4 linked regions of the Elephas maximus indicus genome follow. The protein of the gene in region 3 interacts with the protein of the main gene of each other region in a pairwise test. Links are inferred from orthologs where the notes say so. Each region holds a gene or a part of one and is shown on either strand. Other genes may lie near its edges.

What was found.
Region 1: the proteins of DVL3 (region 3) and CSNK1D interact in binary tests that used the Homo sapiens proteins (3 or more experiments, as listed by UniProt). The two-hybrid records come from large-scale screens. The link is inferred for Elephas maximus indicus from reciprocal best matches to the Homo sapiens genes DVL3 and CSNK1D.
Region 2: the proteins of DVL3 (region 3) and SNX22 interact in binary tests that used the Homo sapiens proteins (3 or more experiments, as listed by UniProt). The two-hybrid records come from large-scale screens. The link is inferred for Elephas maximus indicus from reciprocal best matches to the Homo sapiens genes DVL3 and SNX22.
Region 4: the proteins of DVL3 (region 3) and TNFAIP8L1 interact in binary tests that used the Homo sapiens proteins (3 or more experiments, as listed by UniProt). The two-hybrid records come from large-scale screens. The link is inferred for Elephas maximus indicus from reciprocal best matches to the Homo sapiens genes DVL3 and TNFAIP8L1.

What each region holds. Positions count from the first base shown.
Region 1 is NC_064837.1:72,069,110-72,076,797, reverse strand, and holds the start of CSNK1D (casein kinase I), read left to right. Parts: upstream 1-4,681; 5' UTR 4,682-5,279; coding exon 5,280-5,373; intron 5,374-7,688. UniProt on the Homo sapiens protein: Essential serine/threonine-protein kinase that regulates diverse cellular growth and survival processes including Wnt signaling, DNA repair and circadian rhythms. It can phosphorylate a large number of proteins.
Region 2 is NC_064831.1:54,377,497-54,384,980, reverse strand, and holds the start of SNX22 (sorting nexin-22), read right to left. Parts: upstream 3,013-7,484; 5' UTR 2,969-3,012; coding exon 2,894-2,968; intron 2,584-2,893; coding exon of another isoform or gene 2,502-2,583; coding exon 2,418-2,501; intron 2,016-2,417; coding exon 1,911-2,015; intron 1,438-1,910; coding exon 1,343-1,437; intron 1-1,342. UniProt on the Homo sapiens protein: May be involved in several stages of intracellular trafficking. Interacts with membranes containing phosphatidylinositol 3-phosphate (PtdIns(3P)).
Region 3 is NC_064819.1:30,911,067-30,918,833, reverse strand, and holds the start of DVL3 (segment polarity protein dishevelled homolog DVL-3), read left to right. Parts: upstream 1-4,755; 5' UTR 4,756-4,922; coding exon 4,923-5,083; intron 5,084-7,767. UniProt on the Homo sapiens protein: Involved in the signal transduction pathway mediated by multiple Wnt genes.
Region 4 is NC_064821.1:7,642,089-7,649,306, reverse strand, and holds the start of TNFAIP8L1 (tumor necrosis factor alpha-induced protein 8-like protein 1), read right to left. Parts: upstream 3,004-7,218; 5' UTR 2,882-3,003; coding exon 2,745-2,881; intron 1-2,744. UniProt on the Homo sapiens protein: Acts as a negative regulator of mTOR activity.

The sequences.
Region 1 (7,688 bases), on a different chromosome or scaffold from region 3:
TTAATAGATTTTACTATGCCTATCGACCTAGAGTCGCTATGAGTAGGAATTGACTCGACGGCACTGGGTTTTTTTTTTTTGGTTTTATTGACCTAGATGTACTGAAACCAAGGTCCCCAGACTCCCACTCCTCTTACGCTGGCCTTCGAAGCATTCGGTTTATTCAAGAAACTTCTTTTTTTGTTGTTTAGTCCAGTTGTGCTGACCTCTCCTGTATTGTATGTTGTCTTTCCCTTCACCTAAAATAGTTCTTGTCTACTAATTAGTGAATACCCCGTCCCTCCCCCTGCACACTCATAACCACCAAAGAATATTCTGTGTTTCTACTATTTCTCGAGTTCTTATAATAGTGGTCTTATACAATATTTGCCTTTTTGCAACTAATTTCACTCAGCATAATGCCTTCCAGATTCCTCCATGTTATGAAATGTTTCATGGATTCATCATTGTTCTTTATTGATGCATAGTACTCCGTTGTGTGAATATACCATAATTTATTTATCCATTCATTCATTGATCGTCACCTTGGTTGCTTCCATTTTTTTGCTATTGTAAACAGTGCTACAATGAACATGCGTGTGCATATATCTGTTCATGTAAATGCTCTTATTTCTCTAGGATATATTTCAAGGAGTGGAATTGCTGGATCATATGGTAGTTCTATTTCTAGCTTTTTAAGGAAGCACCAAATCGATTTCCAAAGTGGTTGTACCATTTTACGTTCCCACCAGCAGTGTATAAGTGTTCCAGTCTCTCCACAACCTCTCCAGCGTTTATTATTCTGTGTTTTTTGGATTAATGCCAGCCTTGTTGGAGTGAGATGGTATCTCATTGCAGTTTCGATTTGCATTTCAGAAACCCTGGTAGTGTAGTGGTTAAGTGCTACAGCTGCTAACCAAAAGGTCGGCAGTTCAAATCCGCCAGGTGCTCCTTAGAAACTCTACAGGGCAGTTCTACTCCGTCCCATAGGGTCGCTATGAGTCGAAATCAACTCGGTGGCAGTGGGTTTTAATGGCTAATGATCGTGAGCATTTCCTCATGCATCTGTTAGCTGCCTGAATGTCCTCTTTGGTGAACTGTCTGTTCATATCCTTTGTCCATTTTTTAATTCGGTTATTTGTCTTTTTGTTGTTGAGTTTTTGCAGTATCATGCAGACTTTAGAGATCAGATGCTGATAGGAAATGTCATAGCTAAAAACTTTTTCCCAGGCTGGACTGCCAGGTGGCCAGGCCTGGTACCTGGATACTACCCCTCCGGGGGCCAGTAGGGATGGTGCCTCCGAGGACCTGCAGACGCCCGGTGGCGTGGGTCCAGGGCTGGAGAGACAGACTCCGGCTCTCTCCTCATCCTGCAAAAGGGCAGTGTCAGGTCTTTTGACTCTTTTGGTGAAGTGTTTGGATGAGCATAGGTGTTTAATTTTTAGGAGCTCCCAGTTATCTAGTTTCTCTTCTGGTGTTTGCACATTGTTAGTAATGTCTTGTATACTGTTTACACCATGTCTTTATCATTTTAGACTTTATATTTAGGTCTTTGATCCATTTTGAGTTAGTTTTTGTGCATGGTGTGAGGTATGGGTCTTGTTTTTTTTTTTTTTTTTTGCAGATGGATATCCAGTTATACCAGCACCATTTATTAAAGAAACTGTGTTTTCCCCATTTAACTGACTTTGGGCCTTTGTCAAATATCAGGTGTTCATATGTGGATGGATTTATGTCTGGATTCTCTGTTCTACTCCATTGGTCTATATATCTGTTGTTGTACCAGTCCGAGGCTGTTTGGACTACTGGACTTCCAACTATTTTTGGTGAGGGCTGCATGCCTGAGGCTGAAGGCAGAGACGGGAGACTTCCAAGTGGGAAAAGGCAGCTCTGCTGTGTGCCAGGGGCCAGCGCACCCTCCATGCCCTCTCTTTAGCCTCTGTGAACCCTGTGCCCAGCGGGATGCCTGCTGGATGTTTAGGAGTGCGTTTCATCAACCCATTTCATGGTTCTTTTTTAGCTGGGGGTTGGCGGGGAGGGGCGGGTTATTCAATAGGAAAGGTAAGCACGTTTTTCTCACCACATCAAACTTTGTGCTTCTAGGTGTGGCTGGCATCTGTCTCTCTCCCAACCCCACAGCACCTTCCTACAAAGCCTCTTTTCAAACTTATAATCCCTGACAGAGACAGATAACCCAATCACCCGTGTGAAATTGTTCACTACACATTAGTAAGCAAGCATAAGTAAGCCTGTGCTTACCTTGCTTACTGGGTCATCTGCCCCTGGAGGTGTCTACAGAAGCTTGCTTGGGCTTGGGGGCCACTCTGGTAGGCTGTTCCCAATGGTCCGAGTCAAGAGTTCCAACTTGGTGCCTGAGCATCCTGCACTATTTTGCAATTAAAAATATCCAGATGCAGGCAGATGAGGTAAAGATGCTCACTTGGGGCCCAGGCAATGGCACTGGAGAGGTGGTGTCAGCTCGCCCTTTGGAGGCCTGCTTGCATCAACCCAGCCTTCACCCAGTAGGGCCCCCTGACCTGGGTCCTGGGTGGCCTACTCCTCCCTTTGCTTTATATCTGAGTTCCAGGGGTGTAGGAGGTGTTAGAAGGCTACAGGCACTCAATTCCCAAGCCCCCTAAATCCAGAAACTGGCATCTCCTGGAGGGACGGACCAGTAGATGTCCCTGGCAGGACCACAAGGCCAGCGCACACCTGCATCCCGCCTGGGTGCCTCAGCGGACCTGCCGACCCCGGTGGCGCAGGTCCAGGGCTGGAGGGACAGACTCTGGCCCTCTCTAAAAAAAAAAAAACTAGTGCCATCTCTGCATCCCGCAAAAGGACAGCGTTAGGGCCCCGCCCAGGTCTGTCCGTAGGATCCCCAGGCTTCCTAGACCTGCCGGGGGCACACAACGCCCCAGCGCGAGCACGTGGAGCCGGTGCGCAGGATGGGTCTGGGGGCGGGGCGAGGAAGGAGCCCCAGGAGGAGGCTTCAGTGCGCTCGCCCCGCCCAGACGCCCCCCACCCCGCCCTGTCCGGATGCCCAAAGCCCCCTGCCCCGGCCCGCCCAGGTGCCCAAGCTTCCTGCCCCACCCTTTCCCCATGGCCAAAGCCCCCACCTCACCCTGATCAGATGCCCTAAGCGTCCCCCCCATTCCACCCTATCCCAAGGCCTGTACCCCCAGCCTCACCCTGATCAAAAGTCCATACCCTGGGTGGGAGAGGAGTATTCACTAGTTAGATAGTAGATAAGAACTACTTTAGGTGACAGGAAAGACAACACACAATACAGGTGAGGTCAGCACAACTGGACTAAACCAAAAGGAAAGAAGTTTCCTGAATAAACTGAATGCTTTGAAGGCCAGCGTAGCAGGGGCAGAGTTTGGGGACCATGGTTTCAGGGGACATCTAAGTCAAATGGCATAATAAAACCTATTAAGAAAACATTCTGCATCCCACCTTGGAGAGAGGTGTCTGGGGTCTTCAACGTTAGCAAGCGCCCATCTAAGATGCATCAATTGGTCTCAACCCACCTGGAGCAAAGAAGAATGAAGAACACCAAGGACACAAGGTAATTATGAGGCCAAGAGACAGAAAGGACCACAGAAACCAGAGAGTACAATCAACCTGAGACCAGAAGAGCTAGATGGTGCCCGGCTACAACCAATGACTGTCCTGACAGGGAACACAACACAGAACCCCTGAGGGAGCAGGAGAGCAGTGGGATGCAGACCCCAGATTCTCATAAGACCAGACTTAATGGTCTGACTGAGGCTAGAAGGACCCCGGTGGTCATGGCCCCCAGCCCTTCTGTTGGCCCAGGACAGGAACCATCCCTGAAGCCAACTCTTCAGACATGGACTGGACTGGACATTGGGTTGGAGAGGGATGCTGGTGAGGAGTGAGCTTCTTGGATCAGGTGGACACTTGAGACTATGTTGGCATCTCCTGCCCAGAGGGGAGATGAGAGGGTAGAGGGGGTTAGAAGGTGGAGAAATGGACACGAAAAGAGAGAGTGGAGGGAGGGAGCGGACTGTCTCATTAGGAGGAGAGCAATTGGGAGTAAGTAGCAAGGTGTATATAAGTTTTTGTGTGAGAGACTGACTTGATTTGTAGACTTTCACTTAAAGCACAATAAAAATTTTAAATAAAGTCCATACCCAAAGCCCCCTCCCGCCTCGCTCCGACCCCGCCCCTCGAGCGGCGCGGCCCCGCCCCTCCGTGTTGCCAGGGGAAGTGACGTCACAGCGCCATGGCGGCGGCTCTCTTAGGCAGCCGAAGGGGGATTTAGGCCCGGAAGATCCGAGTCCATCCGCGGCGGGGAGAGGACCACAGGGGCCGGCAGGGGCCGGAGCAGGGGCGGCGGCACTCGGACTGTCCCATCCGTCCCGTATTGAGGCGCTGGGAGCGGCGGGGAGGCCGGAAAGCGATGGTGAAAGCGGGGCCGTGAGGGGGGCGGAGCCGGGAGCCGGACCCGCAGTAGCGGCAGCAGGGGCGCCGCCTCACCGGAGCTCAGACCCAGGAAGCGGCCGGGAAGACAGGAGCGAGCCGGGCCGCAGTCATGGAGCTGAGAGTCGGGAACAGGTACCGGCTGGGCCGGAAGATCGGCAGCGGCTCCTTCGGAGACATCTATCTCGGTGAGGCCGCGGCGCCCCCCTGCCGCCCCCCGCGCCCCTCCCCCGCCCCGGGAGCCGACCCCAACCCGGCGTTCGGCCCCCGAGGGCGAGCCCCCGGCCCCGAGGGCGCCGGGGCGGGGCGCCGGGGTCCGGGGCCTCGCGGGGGGACTCCTGTCCGCGCCCGGTTCACTGGGTTCGCCCCGTGTCAAGACCCCCCACCCCCCGACAGCTCGAGACCGAGCTTGGCGTCCAAGAGGCCGGAAAAGGGGGCTCCGCTGGCCGGGCGCGGGAGCTGGGGGCGCTTGTAGGGCCTGGTGGCCGAGGAGGCGGGGGCTGCCCGTGTTCCGGCCCTAACCCCCGCCCGGCCCCAGTCTCGGTCCCCGGCCCTGACCCCCGCGCAGTCCCGCCCTCGGTCCCGGTCCCTGACCCCCGCCCGGCCCCGCTCTCGGCCCCCGCGCCCCGAGTCCCAGTCGCCGGCCGGAAGTAGCTGTGCCGCGGGTGGCGTGGGCAGGGCCTGGACAGCTGCGGCCGAGAGGGGCAGCGCCCCGTGGGAGTCTCGGGCGTCGGCGAGCTCCCGAGGCGCTGTCCCCCCGGCCACCTTGCGGCCTTGTAGGGTCGGGCTGTGCTCGTCCCCACGCCCTCCTGTCGCCTACAAGTAAAGGCCACGGCTCCTTCTCCGCAGCCCCCATGGGGCTCACGGCTGCGTCTCACACACGTGGGGAAAATGTCAGAACAACTGGAATGCGGTTGGAGGTGGGACATCCTGTGGCTGTGTTCCTAGGTACTCTGGTTTCTTGTTGCTTTATACTCCTGCCTTTTGCAGGATGGGCCTCGGTGGGTCCTCTCTGGGCTGTGACCTTAGTTCCCCTGAGACTGGAGGGAGGCTTTGAGAGCACTCTTGTTTGCATCTTAGCCCAGCGTAGGGGCTCGGGGTGACCGCTGAGGACAGGTTGAGCATCAAGTGAGGCCAAAGCAAGGTGCCTAGAGGTGAAGAGTTAGGTTACTGTGGACAAAGTCAGGCTGATAAAGTAGGAAGAAAGTTGTGTTTCTGAGCCTGGCATTTGGCTGTTGGGATGCTCAGAAACCAAACCCATTGCTGTGGAGTCAATTTTGACTCATGGCAGCCCTATAGGACAGAGTAGGACTGCCCCGTAGGGTTTCCACGGAGGGGCTGGTGGATTTGAACTGCTGACCTTTTGGTAAGCAGCCAAATGCTTAACCATTGCGCAACCAGGGCTCTAGAATTTTCAAGCTTCAGCTGAAGTGTTTGGGATTTTTAAAAAAGCACGTATATACACAGGCTTATGATAAAAGAATGGCTGAAATCTTAAAGTTGGGAATTGAAAAATAACCAAGTTTTTCTGCATTTTCCCAAGCAAGCATGTTGTGTCTAAGCTTCTCAAGCTTCCTGAACTTGAGAACATGAGCCTGGCGTGCCGGCAAGTGTGCAGAAGAATTGTTGCATAACCTCAGGGTAAACATGGCCTGTTGTTGAGCAGCCCGCTTTGGCTGTTCTGTTTGGCTCGTGTGCCTGTTAGGGAGGGCCAGGAACCGCTGTCTTCTTCCTGGGTGTACAGTGATTCTCTGTTGGCTTTTCAGACTAGCCAAGTCTGTGCTGACACCCCCACCCTCCCCTTGTTACTGAGGAGGAGATCCAAGACCTTGTGGCTAACATGTTTGGGGAGCTCCCCCACTGCTCTTGGTGCCTGGTTAACCTCCAGGGTAACTCATCATGTGCTGGGTGGATGCCTGTGGGCCATACTTCTGCCTTACTGGCCTGCTAAAGAAAGGCTGCTGTAGAGATGCTTGGATTTTGCTGTTTAAATATTTATACCGAAGGAGTCATTGGGTGCGTTCTCAGCCTGTTTGGGAGTGCAGTGCTGGGTAAATGCAAGCTGTTTGCCTTATTTATGGAGGAGATCTTGGCAAAAGTCTTAATCTCAGATCTGGGAGCTGTACTGAAAAGCCAATGCATTATCCAGCCTTACACGGGCATCAGAAGTAGATGATTTGAAACTTTTTGTTCTCTGATCTGAGATCTTGCCAAACAGCTTTGTGCTTTCAGAAGATAAATTCAGACCATTAAGTTGCCGAATTGTTTTCACTGAGTCGTTCACAGAGGGGTGCCCTCTTCTCACAGGGCTGGAAGCTTGGAGCGGGAACCCTGTCTGCTTATTTGCCGTGGTGTCCTTTGGGCCTCCCTCATATTAAACCCAGCGTGGGTGTTTAATACAGGTGGGGGATGGGCCCCGAGGGGTCTGTTCTCAGGCTTCTCCTCTTTGTGTGTTCTGAGGTGGTGCACTGTGGCTCCCGGACACTTGGATTGGCACACCTAGGCAGCCCATGACTTGTGTGGGCCTGTTGTCGTAACGTGCTGTCAAGTTGGTTCCAATTCATGGTGACCGTATAGGACAGAGTAGAACTATCCCTATAGGGTTTCTAAGGAGTGGCTGGTAGATTTGAACTGCTGACCATTTGGTTAGCAGCTAGGCTTTTAACTATTGTGCCACCAGGGCTCCTGTCTGGGGCTAGGCAGGACGGATTAATTTCTAGTTAGTCAGCATTGGTTTTGGCTCACAGTCTATGTTCTTGGAGGCTACATGCTGCCCCACCAAGGAAATGTGAAGAGATCTTGTTAGCTTGAGTAAGACATGGCTAGGTCAGTTGGTTAGAGCAAAATCATCATATACTGTGGTGAAGAGTCCAAGAGGCTGGGCCAGCACTGTGAGGTACATTGAGTCATCCATGTTATTGGTTCCCATTCGTGTAGGCAGTTAGGCAATTGAGTTGGGGCCTCATCCTGAAAAGCTGGTCATAGGAATTTAGTAAGATTCTGGTTAAAAGCATTCCTGTTGCCGCCACTCTGACATTAGATAGCTCTGAACTGCTCAAGGTAGGGTTCACCTTGTTTTGAGACTGGCATTCCAGGCTTTGGGGGTCTAGCTCGGACTTCAGTGCTTGTAGGTGTTTGCAAATGTGGGGAGGGGAGTCTGTCCCTGTGTTTGCTGAGCACTTTGTGAGCAAGAAGACCCAGTGCTGGCCGACCTTCTCTAGCTGCCTGCTGTGCAGATGGAGCTTGAGGGAGGGCCACAGGCT
Region 2 (7,484 bases), on a different chromosome or scaffold from region 3:
TAAGATAAATCTATTGGTCTCACTCATCTGGAGCAAAAAGAGAATGAAGGAAACCAAAGACGCAAAGAAGAAACTAGTCTGTGGGGCTAACAGCCCACATGAAACCACAGCCCTCTTTTAACCTGAAACCAGAATAACCAGATGGTGCCTGGCCACCACTACTGGCCATTCTGACCAGGGACACAATAGAAGGTCCCAGATAGAATGGAGAAAAATGTAGAACAAAATTCAAATTCCTAAAAAAGGTCAGACCTACTGGACCGATAGAGATTGGAGGAACCCCTGAGACTATTGTCCTAAGATAACCTTTGAACTTGGCACTGAAGCTACTCCTGGAGGTCTCCTTTTAGCCGAATAATAGATTGGCTTAATAAAACAAACCATATCGCCCCCGAGTAATGTGCTCCCTTAAACAATCAACTATATGAGACCCAATGGTCAGCATTTACCGAAAAGCAAAGATGAGAAGGCAAGGAGGGTGTTTCTGGTTGAGTTGTGTCCCCCCAAAGTATCTGTCAACTTGACTAGGCCATGATTCTCAGTATTATGTAATGCCCAGCATTCTGTCATATGCTGTGATTTTCCTGTGTGTTGTAAGTGTTGTAAATCGTATCTCTGTGATGTTAATGAGATGGGATTGCCGGCAATTGTGTTAATGAGGCACGACTCAGTCTACAAGATTGGATTGTGTCTTGATCCAATCTCTTGAGATATAAAAGAGAGAAGCGAGCAGAGAGACATGGGGACCCCATACCACCAACAAAATATAGCCAGGAGCTTGCATCCTTTGGACATGAGGTCCCTGCACTGAGAAGCTCCTAGTCCAGGGGAAGATCGATGACAAGGACCTTCCCCTAGAGCTGACAGAGAGAAAGCCTTCAACTGAAGCTGGTGCCCTAAATTCAGACTTTTAGCTTACTAGATTGTGAGAGAATAAACTTCTGTTTGCTAAAGCCATCCACTTGTGGTATTTCTGTTATAGCAGCACTAGATGACTAAGACAGGAAGGGAAGCTAGATCAACAAACAACAAGCAGAATGCTGACACATTGTGAAAACTGTAATCAGTGTCACTAATGTGTATAAAAATTGTGAAAACAGGAACCTAATTTGCTGTGTAAACTTTTACCTAAAACACGATAAAATTAAAAAAAAAAAAAAATGCTGACGAGGGAGGCAGGCCTCAGGAGGAGGAAGATCCAGTCTAGGATCTGGGCAGAGGTGAGGAGCAAAAGTGGGGCTTGGCCCCCAAATCTGTCCTCTTCTGCTTGCTGCCAAGAGCCCCTATACCCCCAGCACTGGCCCCTCTCCCTTGCCAAGCCTCAGCCCCTTGAGGTACTCACCCCCAGCTGTTGGCCTTGGGGTCTGTGGGGAGGTGCCGAAGTCTCAAGAACTCCAGTAGCTCCTTGGGCACATCCTGGTTCAGGTACAGGACGCCCTGGAGAGGAGGACAGAGGAAGGCTGGTACTTTGCACAACCTAGTGCAAAATGAAAATGCAGGCCCTTTGGTAAAAAAATGGCTTAAGAGTTTCAAGTTAAGAGCCTAGCATCACACCAAGCTCAGAGCCCTTCTGAACAGTGGGGCCTGTGTGACTACACTAGTTCTATGCCCCTGAAGCCCTCTGGCTGTAATCCCCCATCACTGTGGCTGAGGGGACCCCTAGCCTCCTTCCCCATCACAGGGAGCAGAGGAACTCACCCCTGCAGGGTAAGGGAACTAACTTTGATTGCAATGGGATCACCTGTCTCCTGGCTACCTCCTTCAGTCCTTTCAACAAGCCAGCAAAGTTTGTGTGGACCCATTGTTCAGAAAAACTGAGGCTTAGGGTAGTGAATAACGTGCCCAAGATAAGGGCCCCTCTCCTGCTCTCCAGGCCAGCAGCTTAGGGCACCCAGAGTGGCCCACAGTACCTGGATGTAGGCCTCCAAGCCCTGTCGGCGCTGTTCCAGGCCCCTGGTCCTCCAGTTGGGCAGACGTTTCAATGGGAAGTCGGGCACTTTGTACAGTTTCTTGATCTGCCAGAGGTTACCGCGGTGCTGTCACAGCTCCCTGGCTGAGCCCTCAAGCCCACTCCACCTTAGCCAAGAGCCCTCTCCACTCCTTCCCGCCCGCCTTTCCAGCTCTACCCTGGCATGGACCCGGGTAATGGCGGTGGGGGCTAGGTGGGCCCCAAGTCGCACAGACGCCCGAGGGCCGGCCGGCTGCGCAGGGGCACGGTCATTGCGGACTGGACCTGCCTTCCTACGCCCTCCTGACGATGGCCCCGCAGTCTGCGGGCGGTCTGTGCCCAGGACCTGCTCCCTCATGGACTGGGGCCATAAAGGGAGTGCGCTGGGCCAGAGCCCGTCCTCCCGCTTCCCAGGGGCTGGTCAGGGCCGGCGGGGGTGGGAGTCGGTAAGTCGTCGGCGCCGCCTCACCCGCTTGTGGAGCGCGTGGAACTCGCTGTAGCGCCTCGGCACGGTGTGTCTGCGCCCGCGGCACAGCACTTCCACTCGGAACACCTGGCGGGCGGGCGGCGGGGCGCGCGCGTGAGGTCCAGACGGGGGACCAGCAGGACCAGTGCCCAGCGGCGCGCCCGTTCTCCTGCGCTCACAAGGCACAAAGCGGCGGTGGAGCGCCGCTGCTCCCCGAGGACCCTCTCGCGTCCCCAACACCTGGGAGGAGGGGCTGGCGGACCCACCCCTCTGCTCCAGACAGCTCCTGAGGTGCCCGGACCACGGTCCGCGGGGCAGCCAAACCCGAGCGTCCCCGATACCCTCAACACGCTGTTCCCCGACGGCCTGGTCCACCGCGCTCGGACGCCCCAGCCCGGGCGCAGGGTCCCCAGGGCGCTCCGCGTGGGGAAATCCTGCGGCGGGTCCCCGCGTCCCTCCCATCCCGGTGCTTCGCTCACCATGTGTCCTTTCTCCGGGCTCTGTCCGGACTCCTCGGCCTCGGGCCCCACAGACGGGATGTGAACTTCCAGCATCGGCAACCGGGCCGGCTCCTCTCCCGACGCTGGCAGCCCGAACTTGCCCGGCGCAGACTAGACCCCGGCGCGGAGCCCCGCCCCCGGCCATGGCCCCGCCCCAGTCCCCCAGGCCCCGCCCCGGGTCCGCAGCCCCGACCCCGGCCCTCAGGCCCCGCCCCCGGCCCGCAGCCCAGCCCCCGGGCCCTGGCCCTGTTGCGCCCCACGCTGACCCCGCCCCCGGCGTTCCCCGAGCCGCCGGGGCCTGCGCCCAGAAGATTAGAAGGGCGTGGAGTGGCGGGAGTCGAGGGTCGCTCTCTGAGCCCAGTGGGGTTCCTCCTGCGGAGAGTCATCTGTTTGTCAAACATTTACTGACCGTCCGCTGATTGCGAGAAACGCGGGCGAGTCAAAATTTCACCTACCCTTTGAGTGCCTACTAAGGACCTGGGCCTGTGGGCGCCGCCACACGTGGGCGGTGGAGGGCCCAGCCCTCGGTGCCTGCCCTGGGGGCCAACCAAGGACGTTCCTTGAGTTCCTCAGACACTTCCTCGGGGTCGCACCAACCCCCTACCCCCTTCTCTCCACTTCCAGGGCCCAACCCGGAGGGGGAGTCACCGCCTGGAGACCCCAGCTAAGGCCATGCCTGGGAATGCTAGGACCCAATCCGGCTTTGATTACACCCCCAGCACCCACAGGCCTGCCCGTCCGTTGGTCCATCCCTCCCTCGCTCCCTCACCACGAACCTGCTCCAGGTCCAGTGTGCCGGGAAGAGGCAGTTTAGGGACCCAGGCTCTGGTCGGGGGGTAAGACAAACTGGATTTCTGGAACTGTGTTAGACATGTGTTCATCTGACTGATAGGCAAAATATGCCTCCCTCAAGAGACTGAAAATTGGGATCATCCATGTTAAGCCTTTAGTAAATATTGAGTACATGACAGCTGGGTTGTGGCTGGTCTTGGAGGGGCAGGCGGCTGGTGATGGAGATGGCTACCAGGGACTGTGGGAGGTGGCCCCAAGCTGCTGTTGCCCACCCTTCTGGGCAGGGTCTTTCTGGACGTGTGGCAGTGATTTTAATCACTCTCTGTGCTGCCATAAAGGGCCTCTGCTCCCACCTCTTGGCCACCTCCACCCCCCAATCAGAGGGAGCTGCTGTCCTCCGGCAGCACCATGACAGTGTCTTTGACTCCACTGGCTTCTCCCCCACAAAGGCCCTGGGGGCAGGAGAGGGCCACGCCCTGCCTTCCAAGAGCTGACACCTAGTTGGGGACTCTGGGGTGGGTGGGAAAGAGGAAGCAAATTGCCTGTCTTGGTGGCTAGGAGGAGGGGGAACCACTGAATCACCCCCCTTCCCCGCTGAGCTGAAGCAGAAAATCTTCATTCTTGCTGTGCTCCCAAGAGAGGCTGGGAGAGTGACCCCACAAGGTGGGAAGCAGGTCTCTCACCAGTACTATCTCCTACACTTTCTTCTCCCAAATCCCATCTCATATGGGCCCCCAAATCAGGAAGCTGAAACTTCTAGGAACCTGATGTGGTTCCTTGGAAGGGAAATGACCCACTACGAAGAGAAGTGCTGGCATTTCATTTCCTCCCCGGCACTACAGGGCCCATCATTCAGGGACCCAGCTCACCTGGGCCCACAGGGCCTCCACCACATTCTACTGTCCCGGGTGGCCTCCTCAGACTTCTAGATCACACAACCTATTGACAGTCTGCCCCTCTGTCTTAACCCCTATCACCCAGAAAACTGCCATGTCCTCTAATGGGTCTCCCTGTTTTTCCTTGTCCCTCTTCCCCCATTGCACTTAGAATAAACCCCAATCCCTGCCAGACTACAAAGTTCTAAATGACCCAGCCCAGCCTCCACCTCCCATCTCATCCCATCCCCTCTCCCCCTTGTATGCCAGGCTCCAGCCACAGTGACCGTCTTCTAGTTCTTCAAACCAAAGACAAGCTTTTTCCTGCCTCAGGGCCTTTGAACGTGCTGTTTCCCCAACTCTTCCCTGACCCTTGACCTGGTGGGTTTATCCTCCAAGTCTCAGCCCAATACCTCCTCCAAGAGGCCTTCCTTCCTGACCACCCTATCATATCAGTCTATGCACTTACTACAAACCTTATTGTGTTTAGTATGTGTCTCCCTTAGTTTCCCCCACATTCCCCCAGACTCTAAGCTCCATCAGGCCAGGGACCTGGTCTGTGTGTCAGTGGTTGCTTCTGATGGGCTCAATATGTAGAAGGAACTCAATGGCCATGGAGGGGAGGGGGAGCCTGGGGAGGCAGCAGGAAGGGAGCAGGGGTTGCTAAAAGGTTGGAGGAAAGCCTGCAGGGGTATAACAACAGGAATCTTCCAGGGGCCTTCAGGTTAGACACCTGTCTCTTGACTCCTCCCACCCCCTCTAGGGAGCCGGAGCACTCTGGGCCGGCTGTGAAGACCTGAAGCCCACAGCTTGCAGAGGACCAAGACAACAAGAGAGGAAGGCTGGGTGTGAAAACGTCCCTCCCGACACGCCCCAGCTCCTGTGGGCGGCCCTGCTTGCTGGTGGAGCCCCCAAACCGGCGCCCAGGTTGGCTTAGCCAGCTCCGCACGTCTTGGCTCAAGCCCTCGCCCTCCGCCGCCGGTACATACAAAGCCCCCTTTCAGTGGCAGGGCTTCTGTTGGGCGGCGGAGGCTGCTCAGGAGGTTTGGTTAACCCCGTTAAGAAAACAAACAGCCCTGGGCCACGGGCGGGCCGGCGGGCGCCGCTGCGCACAGAGGCGTGATTCTTCTCTCCCAGGCTGGCTGGGGGACGACAGGGGCCCGCCACCTGGGGCTCCACCTGTGTAACCCTTGGGCAGCCCCTCGAGCCTCAGTGTCCAGATCTGTAGAATGGAGAGTTGTCGCGTGGATTACACGAAGCCACGCTGGCAGAGTTCAGCACGGAGCCTAGAACACAGTTAAGTCAATATTAGCTATTATTGTTTCAGTGAATTATACAAACCGGCTTTTTGTAAATCAAGATTGATGGGGTGGCCTATTGGCAGTTACATATGGGCCACCCTAATATAGTTAGTGATTTCTGCCTTGAAACAAATTCTACCACTCTTTCAGTATCCTGAAATTGCAAGGCTAGCTAAAAACTATTTCTCAGCTACTAACTGGGATCTGGGTTTTCCCTGATTTTCTCAATACTGGCAACCAGTGGAAAAAGAAAAAAAAAAAAGCAAAGAAATAAATTGGAAGCAGCGGTTGATGCAAATCAACTATCCTGTTCATCAAAACAGCCTTAGTTCTTACTGATTGCCTTTTTTAATAAGTACATTTTATAAATTTGAAATAAACTTGAAATAATAAGTTTACAGTAAACCAAAAAATCCTGTTGCTGCCGAGTCCATTCGGTCTCACAGCGACCCTATAGTATAAGTACACTCACAGTCCCCCCGCCCCATCCACGGTTTCCCTTTCCCAGGCTTCAGTTACAGCAGTCAACCGTGGTCTGGGCTCAGCTGTACTGAACATATACAGACTTTTTTGTCATCATTATTCCCTAAGCAACACAGTATAACAACTATTTACATAGCATTTACATTGTATTGGGTATTATAAGTAATCTAGAGATGATTTAAAGTATAGGGAAGATGTGTAGGTTATATGCAAATGCTACGCCATTTTATACAAGCGACTTGACCATCCTCGAATTTTGGTATCTCTAGGGGTCCTGGAACCAATTCCCCGAGGATACAAAGGGATGATTGTATACTAGTATTTTGTTTTCATTGGATTTCAGTGTAAGATGTTGTCTAAAAAAACAGTTCTACTAAAACCTTTTAAATTCATAAAATAATCTAAACCCTTCATTTTATACATGAGGAAACTGAGATGTGAAGAAGGGAAGTGGGTTCTTGAAGGCACCTCAGCCAAGCGTGTCCTGCCTGAGCTCTGAGAGCAAAGCTTGGCTCAGGGCAGGCTGGCGACCTGCTTCCCAGGGGGAAGGCAGGCTCTAGACCCAGGGTTCCAGCCAACAGTGTCACTCCTAGGGCCCTAGGGGCCACCTGCCCCATGCCCAGATATGAGAGGCAGTTCGCCTGCTTCAGATAACACAACCCAGGGCTGGCTAACGGGAGCAGGCAGAGGTCACCCCAGCCACCTTGCATCCAAGGCAGCACAACTTTCCGGGGAGATTTTTCTGGTAATAACAATGTGCCCAGCACTAGGTTCAAGGAACACTCAGGTACCGTCAGGTAACAGGGGTTTATTATGAAGAGAGCTGTGGGACCAAGAACTAGGACAACAGGAAAGCCAGGCCAGAGGCCAGGAGGGGCCACAGCTCCAGGCCTTGAGCTCAGGACTGGAGGTGCCCCCTACTCACAGTCTAATCCTGGTTGCTGTTTGTGGCTTCTCTCTCGGTAAGCAGAGATTTTGGTCTCTGTCATTAATGGTCTCCAGCTACTCACTGAAGCTGCTTCTGTCTCTCAGCTACTGCTCCTACTATCCAACTGGGCAACCCGTCATGTATGTCTGAGGAGAGAGTACCTCACAGGTGTCAGAGAAACTCAAATGCCT
Region 3 (7,767 bases):
CGAAATGATGCCTTCAGAATTCTGAAGGAAACATTTTCAACTCAATCATGTTTTCAGATATGCAAGTACTCAGAAAAAAAAATTTTTTTTTTAATTTCCCATGCTTCCTTTCAAAGGAGGCCACTACACCATGTGCCTTCCGAAAGCAAAGGAGTATTGAGGAAATCAATCCAACACAGAGGAGAGGTAAGGGAATTCTGTGGGCAATAGAGACATCTCAGGATGATAGCTATTCAGCTGGGTGAGACAGCTACCAGTGCAGACCACAGCAGGTGAATGAAAGGCTCCAGAAAAAATGGAACTGGGGGATTACCTAATAGATGCGAATGAGTGAATGAAATGTGTATCCAGAAGCTATTGAATTTTGGTGGGAAGAATTAACAATAGGTTGTTAGTGACCATCAGATTATGACTCATGGTGACCCCACGTGGTACAGAGTAGAACTGTTTCATAGGGTTTTCTTGGCTGTTATCAGAAATAGATCACCAGGCCCATCTTCTGCAGTAGCCCTGGATGGGTTCAGAACACCAACTTTTAGGTTAGAAGTTGAGTACAAACTATTTGTGCCACCTGGAGACTATTAAAGTATATAAAAAGCAAAAACAAAAAAAAAAAGACAAAGCATTGTTGTGGAGTCGATTCAGACTCATAGCGACCCTAGAGGACAGAATAGAGCTGTCACGTAGGGTTTCCAAGGAGCAGCTGGTGTATTTGAACTGCCGGCTTTTTGGTTAGCAGCTCAGCTCTTAAAAGCAAATGAAAAAGCAAGGCTGTCTTAGTCATTTAGTGCTGCCATAACAGAAATACCACAGGTGGATGGCTTTAACAAAGAGAAGTTTATTTTCTCACAGTGAAGTAGGCTAAAAGCCCAAATTCAGGGTGTCAACTCCAGGGGAAGGCTTTCTCTGTCAGCCTTATTGATCTTCCCCCAGACTAGGAGCTTCTCTGTGTGGAGACCCCAGGTCCAAAGGACGCGCTCTGCTCCTGGCACAGCTTTCTTGGTGGTATGAGGTTCTAACTCTGCTTGCTTCCCTTTCCTTTTTATCTCTTGTAAGATAAAAGGTGGTGCAGGCCATACCCAAGAGAACTCCCTGTACGCCTGGGTAAGGGTGTTACAATCTCACCCTAATCCTGTTTGACATAAAGGTATAATCACAAAATGGAGGACAACCACACAATGCTGGAAATCATGACGCAGCCAAATTGATACACTTTTTGGGGAACATAATTCAGTCCATAACAAAAGCAATGATTAATGCCAGGAAAACCAAAAAGTAATAAAGGGAAGGAAGCAATCCTTGAACACACATGGCTTTGCAGTGAACATTTATTCATTCATAGCCAAAATAATCTCCCTGATGTTGTGTGCCGTCAAATGGATTCCAATTCATAGCAATGCTATAGGACAGAGTAGAACTTCCCCATAGGATTTCCAAGGCTGTAAATCTTTATGGAAGCAGACTGCCACATCTTTTCTCCTGCAGAGAGGCTGGTGAGTGAACTGCCAGCCTTTTGGGTAGCAGCCCAGTGCTTAACCACTGTACCACCAGGGCTCCATATAATGTCACTACTAAGTACTGGTTCTTTAGACATATTGTCAGGAGAGACCAGCCCCTGGAGAAGGACGTCATGCTTGGTCAAGTAGAGGGCCAGTGAAAAAGAGGAAGACCCTCAACGAGATGGATTGACACAGTGGCTGCAACAATGGGCTCAAGCATAACGATCTTGAGGGTGGCGCAGGACCAGGCAATGTTTCATTCTGTTGTACCTAGGGTCGCTATGAGTTAGGACCAATTCAACGGCACCTAACAACAAGTACTAGAACCAACAAAGTGTGATTTCACTATATTAAGAGGATGGGGGAGGTGGAAGAAAGAAAGAAATAATTTGGAAATCCATAGGCAACGTAGAGAATACATAAATCAAGAACTAGTGAGCTTAAAAAATAGTGACTATTCTGGAGATCACTTTAATAGTGACTATTCTGGGGGGTCGGAGCCCTGGTGGTTCAGTGGTTAACTGCTAACCAAAAGGTCAGCAGTTCAAATCCACCAGCTGCTCCTTGGAAACCCTATGGGGCAGTTCTACTCTGTCCTGTAGGGTCGCTGTGAGTTGGAATCGACTCAACGGCAATGGGTTTGGCTTTTTTGGTTTGTTCCAGGGGTGGGAAGAGGAATGAGACAGGGAGTCTTTTAATTGTTGTTAAAAGCTTCCCGCATACTATTTGCGTATACACACACAGTACCTTGATAAATATTTAAAATTAAACTAAAAGAAGTAAAGGGAAAGGTACAAACTGGAAATACCAGGTGTGCACAGAGTCTAGCAAGAAGGTTGATTTGGAGTTAAAAATTTGGCCAGGATATTAAAAAATTGCTGTCAAGTCGATTCGGGCTCATAGCATCCACAGAGGACAGAGTAGAACTGCCCCATAGGGTTCCCAAGGAGCCGCTGGTGGATTTGAACTGCCAACCTTTTGGTTAGCAGCTGAGCTGTTAACCACTGAGCTACCAGGGCCAGGATATAGTGAGACAAAAGGTTATAAAAGCAGAAGTGAGATTATGGAGAGCCTTGAACATCCTGCTAAGTATATTTGGGAGGCATTGGGGAATGTGGGAAGGTTTCTTAGAACAAAGTCCCTGGGCGGTGCAAACAGTTCGTGCTTGTGTACTAACCAACAGGTTGGCAGTTGCTTACCCAGCAGCCCTGCAGAAGAATGATTACAGCCAAGAAAGCCCTGTGGAACAGTTTTACTTGGTAACACATGAGTCGCCATGAGTTGGATTGACTAGATGGCAATAGGTTTGGTTTGCTTCTCTCAGAAGAGGTGTCTAAAAGAGATACTCTTCAAATGCAGAGGGGCAACAGTACACAAATGGAGTGAGAAGAGTCCGCACTTGTTACAAGAAAAAAAAACAAAGGCATTGCCCACAGCTGATTCCAACTTACAGCAATCCTATAGGACAGAGTAGAACTGCCCCTAGAGTTTCCAAGGAGTGCCTGGTGGATTCAAACTTCAGACCTTTTGGTTAGACACCATAGCACTTAACCACTACACCACCAGGATTTCCCCACGCTTGTTACTGTGGCCTAAAAGGCCCTATGTGATCTGGCCCTTTCCTACCTTTTCAGCCTCATCGTACCACTGTCCATCTAGTCACGATAGCTGTCCTCCTATTCTTCAAATTTGGAAGTACAATCAGAATGCTCCTTAGAAGTGAGGATGGCAAGATAGTTGCTTACTTTGGATATGTTATCAGAAGTGACCAATCCCTGGAGGACATCATGCTTGGTAAAGGAGAGGGTCATCAAGAGAGGAAGACTCTCAGTGAGATAGATTGGCACAGACCTGCAACAGTGGGCTCAAGCGTAACAACGATTGTGAGGACGGGGCAGTGTTTCATTCTGTCATATATAGGGTCGCTATGAGTCGGAACGCACTCGACAGCACCTGACAACATTCCTGCTTTGAGTCTTTATACTCACTCTGCCCTCTGCCTGGAATACCCTTCCCTTAAATCTTCTCGTATCTGGTTCCTCCTCATCAGTTAGGTCTTAGTTCAAATGGAAGATGTCTTCCTTGACAAACTCATCTTTCCTCTGTCTCTATCACATTACTCCATTTTATCTTCTTAGTAGAGTTTATCACTCTCTGGCTTATTTGGAAACCCTGGTGGTGCAGTGGTTAGGCTACAGCTGCTAACCAAAAGGCCAGCAGTTCGAATCCAGCAGGCGCTCCTTGAAAACTCTATGGGGCAGTTCTTCTCTGTCCTTCAGGGTTGCTATGAGTTGGAATCGATTCAACGGCAGTCAGTCTGTTTTTTTGTTTTTTGAAGTTTATCTATTTACAAGCCTATGTGCCTCCTAGATGAGTGAAGGTTTTGAGGGCAGCCTTACCTGTCTTTCTACTTCTATATCTCAGGCATGGCACCATGCCTAGCACATAGTAGGTACTCAGTATTTATTAAATTAATTAAAAACTAAGGAGTGAGGAAATCTGTCAGGGCACCATCATACCTAGTTCTAGGAGTCCTTGGGTGGTGCAAACGATTAAGCACTGGACTGCTAGCCAAATGGTTGCCGGTTTGAACTCACCCAGAGGCACCTGGGAAGACAGGTCTGGTGATCTGCTTCCAAAAGGTCACAGCCTTGAAAACCCTATGGAGCACAGATCTACTGTGACACACATGGGGTTGCCATGAGTCAGAACTGACTCTGCGGCAGGGAACAACATACCAAGTTCTAGTTTGAGACTCCCTGTCCCAGACAGGCACGCATACCTTCACTTGCCTTTCAGCCCATTTAGTGAACCATTGCTATGCACCTGACCCTGGCTGGGCTCTGGGGCTGTAAGGCGGATTCAGAGCTCGACCCTGCCCTGCCCTCAAGGAGTCCTGTTTGGTGGGCTCTTTTTTTTTTTTTTATGACCGCAGCTGTACTTCTCACCCTAAAGTGCCATACCGAGGTCCCTTGCTTCCAGCGATCCGTGCTTAGAACCACTTCCCACTCTCCCCAAATCTGGGGACCGAAGAGACCCTGCTTCCCTTCCTCCCCGCCTGCAGAGGAGGTCTTCGGTCCAGGGCCAGGGCCTCGGAGGGCCCAGGAGTGCGGCCGTCCTGGTCAGGGCTCCCCTCCAGGTCTGGGCCCCAGGCACCGCGCCTGCTCCCCGCCGAGCGGGGGCCGGAGCCGTGCGCGCCAGGGCCCGGCTTTGCGCGCATCCAGCGCTCGGCGGCCCGCGGGGCGGGGCGCGGCCCGACCCGAGGCCGCGGCACCGGAAGAGTCGCGCCGCCAGGCGGGCCGGAGCGCGGAGCGGAAGCTTGGCGGGCGGCGCTGGGACCCGGGGGAGGCCGCAGAACAAGGAGCTGGGCTGAGCCGCGCCGACTGCCCCGAGGCCCGGCCCGGCGCCCGGGAGGCCGGAGCCATGGGCGAGACCAAGATCATCTACCACCTGGATGGGCAGGAGACGCCGTACCTGGTGAAGCTGCCGCTGCCCGCCGAGCGCGTCACCCTGGCCGACTTCAAGGGCGTGCTGCAGCGACCCAGCTACAAGTTCTTCTTCAAGTCGATGGACGACGATTTCGGGTGAGGGGCCCCCGCCCGCACCGCGGACCCCGCCGCCTGCTTTGGGGGCCACCCGGCCCGCTCGAGCCCCCCCGGCTGTCTGGGGGAGCTGGGGTTCCAGCCCCGCGAGGGACCGCCCGCTCGCCTCTGGTGGGGGACCTTGGCCCCTTGGGGCACCCAGCTTAGGGGAACGTCCAACTCCCCAAAAGCATTCGGCTCCTGGCCCGCCAGCCCCTCACCAACTCGATGGCCCACGTAGACGACACACAACCCCTCCCCCCAGGTCCGGCCCTCCCCCGCCAGGGGAGCCACCTCTTCAGCGCAGACTTGGGGTGTCTGGCACCCAGCCTAGCGCTTCTCCATCTTTTCAGCTGCACGACTCAGGGCCATATTTGGAGCACCCCGCATCTCGGGGCTACGCCGGGGGGACTGCGGACTGGGGGGAGGGAGGTGGCCGGGTGCTGGGGCCCTGCAGACCTTGTGTTTGTTTAGCTGTCGCCCCCTCCCTTGTGGTGTGTCTAGGATGTTGTCAAGGGAGCGAGGCGAACGCCTGGCCCCTGAGGAGGAGTCCAAAATATCCCAGGTGCTTGCTCCCCTCAGTATTGAGGCCTTTTCCTCCAGGTGGTGGCCAAGGGGGAGGCCTTGGAAAGGGCCTCAGAGCCTGAGAGCCAGGAAGAGCCTCTTGGTGTTCTCCATTTTCCCCTCGCTGGCGGGGTCTTCCCCTCCACCCAGCTGCAAGGCTGTGGACAGGCAGAGTTTGGAAGCTGCCACTTCCCCTTTAAGAAGGGATGGAATGTTGGAGCCGGAAGGTTCTGTAGCAGCTGGCCTGGGAAGGGGAGCCTAGCCCATCTCCTCACCGCCCCCCCAGCCCCCCCCAACTCCCAATTCCCGGGGGACTGGAGGAGGGGAAGGCCCCCACACCAGCCTGCATCCAGGAGCTGGGTGCTGGCCTAGAGGCCCCTGGGGAGGCCTCACAGGGTCCTTGAGGCCTGCAGCCATCTCTCCAGCCTCTGCCTGGGGCCTGCACTGCCCTTTGGGGCAGAGTGAGGAGAGACAGTCTTCTCCCATGTGTCCATCAGTCTGGCCGCTCTCCCAGGACCCTGGCCCTCCTGGGTCAAGAAGCAAGCACCTTCTGTCTTCTCCTTGGCATGCTTGGCTGTCGCTTTCCACCCTGGGACTCTGGGTTTGAGGAGCCTGTGAGATGTGTGTGTGTGATCATGTATGTGAGATTTTGTGATCATATGTATAATCCTGTGTGTGTGTGTGAGAGAGAGAGAGAGTGCTTGGTACAGTGGGAAGTGCTTTGTGGAGTCCAACTATCCTGTTGTCTGTTGTCTTTGCTCCTACCCTGGGGCAGGGTACTCCTGGTGCCATGATGATTATCTGGTTTCAGCCCAGAGACAGACACCTCTGATTGGAAGATTCTGAACAGGGATCGATCTGGAAGGGGCAGGGGCAAGGGGGCGGGCGGCCTGACCTAGTTGGAGAAGAATAGGGTCAGAGAACACCAAGATACTTCCTGGGAATATAAGATGTGGAAAAACAGTTACAGTCCAGTGGGCTGGGGCCACCCTGGGGCCAGGTGCACTGAGGGGCTAGGATAGACTTGTGTTCCCACCCCGCACTCACCCCTGGGCCCACTCGGCCTAGCCCCATCTCCTAAGCCTAGACCTCTCTGGGCTGCCTCCTGGCCGGGCCTAACTGCAGTCATAGAAGGATCCTCATTACATCCACTTAACCAAAACCTGTTGCTGTCAAGTCAATTCCGACTCATAGCGACCCTATATTTACTGTTTACTGAATGTTTTCCTTTAACTCCACTGTCAGTCAGCTGCTTTTTTTCTTAGCTTGACCTAACCAGTAATATGAAATCATGGGTCTGACTTTCTATTTATTTTTTTCTAAAATATGTTCAAATAAATACATGTAACTATTAAACTAAGCAACATTCATTCAGGTACCATTTAAAGCCATCTTGCTTACATTAGTGGTACTGACACCACTCTTTTCAAGATATCAGAATAGGTCACTTTAGCAGAGCTGAGAACAATGCTACAAAGGAAGCGGAGGAGACTGATTTCGCTCTTACCCCGCTCCTCCCCAGGAGGCTAAGTGAGCAGAAGGCATGGTAGCGCTCACTTGTCACAGAGGACTCCAGCGTGCCAGACACTGATGTCAATGCTTTTTGAACCTTCACTGAGATCCCACTTTACAGACAAGGAAACTAGGGCACAGAAAGATTAACTTGTCCAGGGTCACACCGCTAGTACATGGCAGCAGAGCTTGATTTGATGTTAGGGATCTGGCTCCAAAGTCTGTAGCCTTAACTGCACAACTGTAGGTATTATTGTTGTTGTTAGGTGCTGTCAAGTCGGTTCCGACTCATAGCAACCCCTATGCACAGCAGAGCGAAACAGTGCCTGGTCCCGCGCCATCCTCACAGTCATTGCTATGCTTGAACCCATTGTTGCAGCCACTGTGTTGATCCATCTCGTTGAGGGTCTTCCTCTTTTTCACTGACCCTCTACTTTACCAAGCATGATGTCTTCCTCCAGGGACTGACCCCTCCTGATAACATGCCCAAAGTATGTGAGACGTATCCTTACCATACTTGCTTCTAAGGAGCATTCTGGTTGTACTTCTTCCACGTAGGTGTTACTACTACCCGCATTTTATAGACGCTTTCTCTCCAAGGGAGATGTTAA
Region 4 (7,218 bases), on a different chromosome or scaffold from region 3:
CACCCCGGGAGAAGTCCCAACCCCAGCCGCCCGCTCGCCTGCCCTTGGCGGCCCGGGCTGCTGGAGCGGACTTCCCTGCCCCCACTGCGGTCACCGGACCCTGGCTCTATGCAGCCCTGGGCCAGAACAGGGGTGCCGTATACGCAGCACCATGTGGCAGGCCCAGCCTGGTGACACATGACCCTTTGTCCTTTCTGCCAGATCTATCCTTCTGTGGGTGGGCTGCCAGTTTTGCAGACGAGAACACAAAATCTCAGAGAGGCTGAGCCACTTCCCTAAGGCCACACAATATGGTAACAGAGCCAGGACTTGAACCCAGTTGGCCTGTTCCTAACACCTGTGTTGCCCAAACTCCCTCCCGCTTGCCTGGAAGGTACTGACCCCCGCCTTCCCCACCTAACGCCTGAAAGTCACCTCGAGTCTGCCCCCGCCCCCTATAATAAAACCAGCCGCCTATGTAGGGCCCACTCCTGGCTCTGATGCCTCAGGCAAGCAACAACACCACCACGTGCCTCAGTTTCCTCATCTGTAAACTGGGGAAGCTCACAACCAACTTCATCCTGGGGCAGAGCCTATAGCCAGTACCTGCCCTTCAAGCTACGAGTCCCCAAAATGCTGGGACCCATTGTCTGAAATTCACCATCCAGGCTCCCCCACTCAGCTCTCTTTGAACTTGCAAACCTAGTTCTTTGATGCATTCTGTGAATGCCAGTTTCTCCAGAACATTCTGTCTCTCATATTCCATTTATCTGTACCTGGACCCCCGCCCCATCCCCTATTACTCATCTGGCAAACTCCTACTCATCCTTCAAGACACCTCCTCCTGGAACCCCTGCCAGGTGCCCCCAGTTGAGTCAGGTGCCTCCTTAGCTCCCATAGCACCCTGGGCATCCCGTCATAGCCCTGGGCACCTGGGTTTCTGTGTCCATCTCCCTTGCCTGACGGTGTGGGCAGGGCTGCATCTGTCTTGTTCATCAATGTCCTGGTGCCCAGCCTGGGGCCTGGTACACAGCAGGTGGTTCATAAGTGTTTGCCGAATACATGAGGGAAAGGATGTCTGTAAACATCAGAACTGAGAGGGAACCCCCAGCCACTCGGTCCTGCCTGCCCACTTTACAGATGAACAAACTGAGGCTGAGGGAGGAAAAGGCCTTAGCCCCCAGGTCTTTCTGCCCATCTTGATGGCTGTGCGACCCTGGCAGGGCTCTGCTTCTCTCTGGGCCTCGACCTTCCCATCTGCGCATCCCGAGGTTGGGTGTGTTGGCTCAGGAGGGGAGCTGGCTGCAGCCTGTTTACCAACTTCAGGAAGGGCCTGGGCTCCCAAATGTCTCACCCCTGCAAGCCCAGCAGGAAAAGGGCCAGGGGAGGGGACAGCTGCACCCTCCCTTCCAGCCTCCACACCCCTCCACCAGCCACCAGCCCTGCCCACACCTGGGCCGGCCCAGCTTCGTGGCCTCCCCTTCCTCCTGCTGACCCATTGTTCTGCCAGAAACCCCTCCATCGAAGCAGCTGGGCAGAGCAATGACCGCCGTCCCTGGGGAGCAGGCCACGGACAAAAATAAATGGCGGCTTCCTTCCTGCCTTTGCGTTCACCAGGCTGAGGCCGGCAGGCCAGGAGGCTGCCCAGGCTGTGCCACCTGGCCCTTCCCTGACAGGGACCGTCCTCATAAGTGCTGAGGGGCTACCTCGTGCAGGCCTAGACGCAGTGACCCTGGCCCCTGCCCCCAGATGCCAGGATACCCCACATTGTCATGAGCAAAAAGAGCCCCTCAGATTTCCAAAGCAGTCCCCTAGGAGGCCTCGTCATCCCTGCTGGAAGGAGGAGGTGCCAGAAACTTGTAAAAACAGAAGTGTTGTTGTTTGTTGCTGTCAAGTTGATTCTGACTCATAGTGACCCCATGGGACAAAGTAGGGTTTTCTTGGCGGTAATCTTCACGGGAGCAGATCACTAGGCATTTCTCCTGCGGAGCTGCTGAGTGGATTCAAACCACCAACCTTTCAGTTAGCAGCTGAGTGCGTAACCATTGCACCACCAGGGCTCCTTAAAATAGAACTAAACAGGATAGTTTTAGAGAGAGATAAGAGCTGTGGAGACAGGCAGAGGAAAAGGAATTGGGGGGCAGGGATGGGGGTGACAGCCAGTGGCAGACAGGTGACCTTAGCTGCGGTGGTCAGGGAGGGCCTCTCTGAGGAGGAGCCCCTAGAGCTGGGATTGGAATGATAAGGTTGGGGGAAGGGTGCTCTAGGTGGAAGGAACAGCCCGTGCAAAGACCCTGAGGCAGGACTGTTGCCTGGTGAGTTGGAGAACAGTGAGGAGACCCATGGGGCTGGAGTAAGTGAGGAGGATAGATGAGAAGGGGAGCGCAGGGAGGGGGCAGGGCAGGTTGCGCAGGGCCCTGTGGGCTGTGAGGAGGACTTGGGTTTTTATGGGAGGGGAGCGCCTGCTATTCCCCCAAATTAGTCGACTCCAGTCCTGCCCCAAGTCATCAAAGACGGGGAGAGGGTTAGGATGGTTCTCACCTGTCCACTCTACCTGCCAGAGACCCGGCGCCCACCACAGTGGCCAGAGCTCCCCCTCTCCCATCCCACGAGTCCACCCACCTTCCCTGGGACAGGAGGTCCTGCACCCAGCAAACGGCCACAGACACTTCTTCCCACCCACCCCGACAAGTCCAGCCCACAACCTCCCACGAAACAGACCAACCTGCAAGAACCTCAAACCCACCACCTGGAATCCCACTCACCACGGTCCAAGCCCCCCGCCCTTGGTGGTGCAAACAGTGAACGTGCTTGGCCGCTCATCAAAAGGTTGGAGGTTCCGGTCTACCCACAGGCACCTCAGAAGAAAGGCCTGGCAATGTAGTTCCAAAAAACCAGCCATCAAAACCCTATGGACCTGGCAAAACTGGATCTATCTGTAGAAAAATGAAACAGACCCATACCTCACATCATACACAGAAACTAACAAAAAATAGATCTAAGACCTAAATATAAAACTATAAAGATCGTGGAGAAAAAAATAGGGACAACACTAGGGGCCCTAATATATGGCATAAATAGAATACCAAACATAACTAAAAATGCACACACAGCAGAAGATGAACTAGATAAATGGGACCTCAGAAAAATCAAACCCTTACACACAGCAAAAGACTTCTCCAAAAGAATAAAAAGAGAACCTACAGATTGGGGGGAAAAATTTTGGCTATGACATATCGGACAAGGGTCTAATCTCTAAAATTTATAGAAAACTTCAACACCTTAACAAGAAAAAGGCAAACAATCCAATTAAAAAATGGGCAAAGGACATGAACAGACACTTTGCCAAAGAAGACGTTCAGGCAGCTAACAGGCACATGAGGAAATGCTCGTGATCATTAGCCTTTAGAGAAATTCAAATCAAAACTATAGCAAGATACCATCTCACCCCGATATTACTGGCACAAATAAAAAAAAAAAAAACAGAAAATAACGAATGCTGGTGAGGTTGTAGGGAGACTGGAACTCTTGGACACTGCTGGCTGGAATGCAAAATGGTACAACCACTATGGAAAACGGTATGTCGCTCCTTTCAAAAAGCTAGAACTAGAAATACCATATAATCCAGTGACCCCACTCCTAGGTATACACCCTAAGGAAATAAGAGCTGTTGATAAAGAAAATGTTCTACATTCTACCTTGGTGAGTAGCGTCTGGGGTCTTAAACGCCTGTGAGCGGCCATCTAGGATACTCTTCTGGTCTCATCCCTTCGGGAGCAAGGAAGAATGAAGAAAACTAAAGACACAAGGGAAAGATTAGTCCAAAGGACTAATGGACCACATCTACCACAGCCTCCACCAGACTGAGTCCAGCACAACTAGATGGTGCCCGGCCACCACCACTGACTGCTCTGACAGGGATCACAATAGAGGGTCCCAGACAGAGCTGGAGAAAAAGGTAGAACAAAATTCTAACTCACATAAAAAGACCAGGCTTCTTGGAGAAACCCTGGGAGTGTGGCCCCTGGACACCCTTTAACTAATACTGAAGTCACTCCTGAGGCTTACCCTTCAGCCAAAGATTGGACAGACCCATAAAACAAAACGAGACTAAAGGGGCACACCAGCCCAGGGCAAGGACGAGACAGCAGGAGGAGACAGGAAAGCTGGTAATAGGGAGCCCAAGGTTGAGAAGGGAGAGTGTTGACATGTTGTGGGGTTGTTAACCAATGTCACAAAACAATATGTGTACTAACCGTTTAATGAGAAACCAGTTTGTTCTGTAAACCTTCATCTAAAGTACAATAGAAAAAGGGAAAAAAAGTCAATCACTGAAAAAAAGACATAAGAGTTGTGACAAGAATAGACCTACGTGCACACCCGTGTTCACTGCAGCACTATTCACAATAGCAAAAATGTGAAAACAACCTAACTGCCCATCAACAGATGAATGGATAAACAAATTGTGGTACATACACACAATGAAATATGATGCAACCAGAAAGTATAATGACAAATACTTGAAACATCTTACAACATGGATGGATTTGAAGGACATTATGCTGAGTGAAATAAGTCAATCACAAAAGGACAAATATTGTATGAGACCACCATTATAAAGGAACAACAAAAGGTTTACACCCAAAAACCAAACCCACTGCCATCGAGTCAATTCCGACTCACAGTGACCCTGTAGGATGGAGTAGAACTGCCCCGCAGGGTTTCCAAGGAGTGCCTGGTGGATTCGAACTGCCAACCTTCGGTTTAGCAGCCATATCTCTTAACCACTGTGTCACTGGGGCTCCAGAAATACATGTTAATATTGGGGTAAGTCAGCACAACATGGCCAAGGCAAAGAGAGGACACAGAGGACCGCAGAACTAAAGGGCAGCCCCAGTAACTACTATAACACGACAATCCTGCAACGATAGTATTAGTGTTTGTTAACAGGACTGGGCAGTGTTTCATTCTGTTGTGCATAGGGGTTGCTATGAGTTGGAACCGACTCGACAGCACTAACAACAATTTATGAGTGGATATATAGGTAGATAGATATGCCATGAGGTGGGTGGGGGCGGTTAAGGGAACACACCCACCGGCAGATACAGGTGTGGTGCTGGCTATTTCTAAATATGTGACTGTAGGTATTCCTTATATATTAACAGAGAAAACAGAGCTCACAAGGGGCAGAGTCGGGAAACTCCATAGACATAACCAAACACCTTGCAGGATGAAGTTCCTAGGCTCAAAGACAAAGGACCATAGACTCAGGGGACACCTATGTCAGCTGGCACAACGCAGCTCATAAACACAATGTTCGGAGTAGTGTCTAAGGTCTTAAAAGCTTGCGAACGGCCGTCTGAGATACAACGATTGGTCTCTTCCAGTCCGGAGCAAAGGAGAGTGAAAAAAAACAAAGACTCAAGTGAGTCCAAAGGACTAATGGACAGCGTGAAACAGCCTACACGACCCCGAGACCAGCAGAACTAGATGGTGCCCAGCTACCACTACCAACAGCTCTGAGTGTGATCACAGCAGAAGGTCCCAGACAGAGTGGGAGAAAAATGTAGAACAAAAAATCAAATTCACAAAAAAGACCAGACTTACTGGTCTGACAGAGATTGGAGGAACACAGAGACTATGGCCTTCAGACTCCCTTCTGGCCTGGAACTGAAGCCATTCCCGGAGACCACCTGTCAGCCAAACCATAGACGGGCCCGTAAAATAAATAATAACACCCAAGAGGAAGGTGATCCTTGGAACAAGCAATTATACGAGATTGAAAGGGCAATATTTGCCCAAAAGCAAAGGTGAGAAGGCAGAAAGGGGTAGAAAATCAGGAGGACAGGAAAGGAGGAGACCAGGGCAAAGCAGGGAGAAGGCTTACACACTGTGGGGAAAGAAACCAAGGCCATGAAACAATTTATGTACAAACTATGGAATGAGAACCTAATCTGCTCTGTAAACCTTCACCTCATGCAGAATAAAAAAAAAAGAAAAAGAAAACTCCTTGGAGCGCAGGCCTGACTCACAGAGGGTCACTGTGAGTCAGGGGTTTTACCCACCTGGAGAAGGAGGAAGCAAAAAGGCAAAGTCACTAAGTGGGTGGATGAACTGCGAGTCAGGTCGGCCTTGCCTGGAGCCTTGGAGGGCCCATCAGGTCGTGACCCCAGACAAGCCCCACACCCTGGGGACAGCTTTCCCAGCTGAGCATGGGGGTGCCCACTCCCCAGCTCTGTGAACTCTCGCCCTACCCCACATATTCTTTCCCAAAACCCTGGGCGCCAGTCCACGCCTCAAACTCAGCACCCTCTGCCAACCCCACATCATCTCCTGGACTCTGAACTTCACTGTCGTCCCCACCGTGGACAGTCTGGCTCCCAAATGCCCTGCAAACACCACAGACACTGATCTTCAACCTCAGGATTGCTCTGGACACACAGCCCTGCACGACCTGCCCCGCCCCCTGCCTGCCTCCCTTCTCTCTTCCCTTGGCTCGCTCCACATGGGCCTCCTCGCTGTTCCTTCAACTCACCGGGCACGTCCTGCCCCAGGGCCTTTGCACCGGCCGTTCCTTCTGCTGGGAGAGGGGAGCGTGAAGGCCCTATGCTCAGAGGCCTTCCCCGACACTGTAACAAATTACTCCTAGTTCTCTCAACCTTGGTGTCAGCCGCTGTGGTGTCGGCCCCCAACTCATGGTGACCCCACGTATATATAACAGAATGGAACACTTCCTGGTACTGCACCATCCCGGTGATTGGTTGCGGATTGAGCTGTTGTGATCCATAGGGTTGTCATTGACTGATTTTTTAAAAATCAATTGCCAGGCCTTTCTTCCTAGTCTTACTCGGGAAACTCCGCTGAAGCCTGTTCATCACAGCAACACGCAAGCCTCCACTGGCAAACAGGTGATGGCTGTGCATTGAGGTGCACTGGTCGGGACTTGAACCCTGGTCTCATGCATGGAACAAGGGTTCTACCACTGGACCACCAGTGCCTCTGTCTGTATCCAGCCCCTGGCAACCACTAACCTACTTTCTGTGTCTATGAATTTGCCTGTTCTGGACATTTCATATAAATGGGATCATATATGTCCTTTTGCGTCTGGCTTCTTTCACGTAGCGTCTTTTCAAGGTTCACCCACGCTGTGGCAGGAACCATGGTTCCTTTGTATGACTTAATAATATTTCATACCTTTTCTTGCAAGAGGGGTCCCTGGGTGGTGCAAGCGGTTTGCGA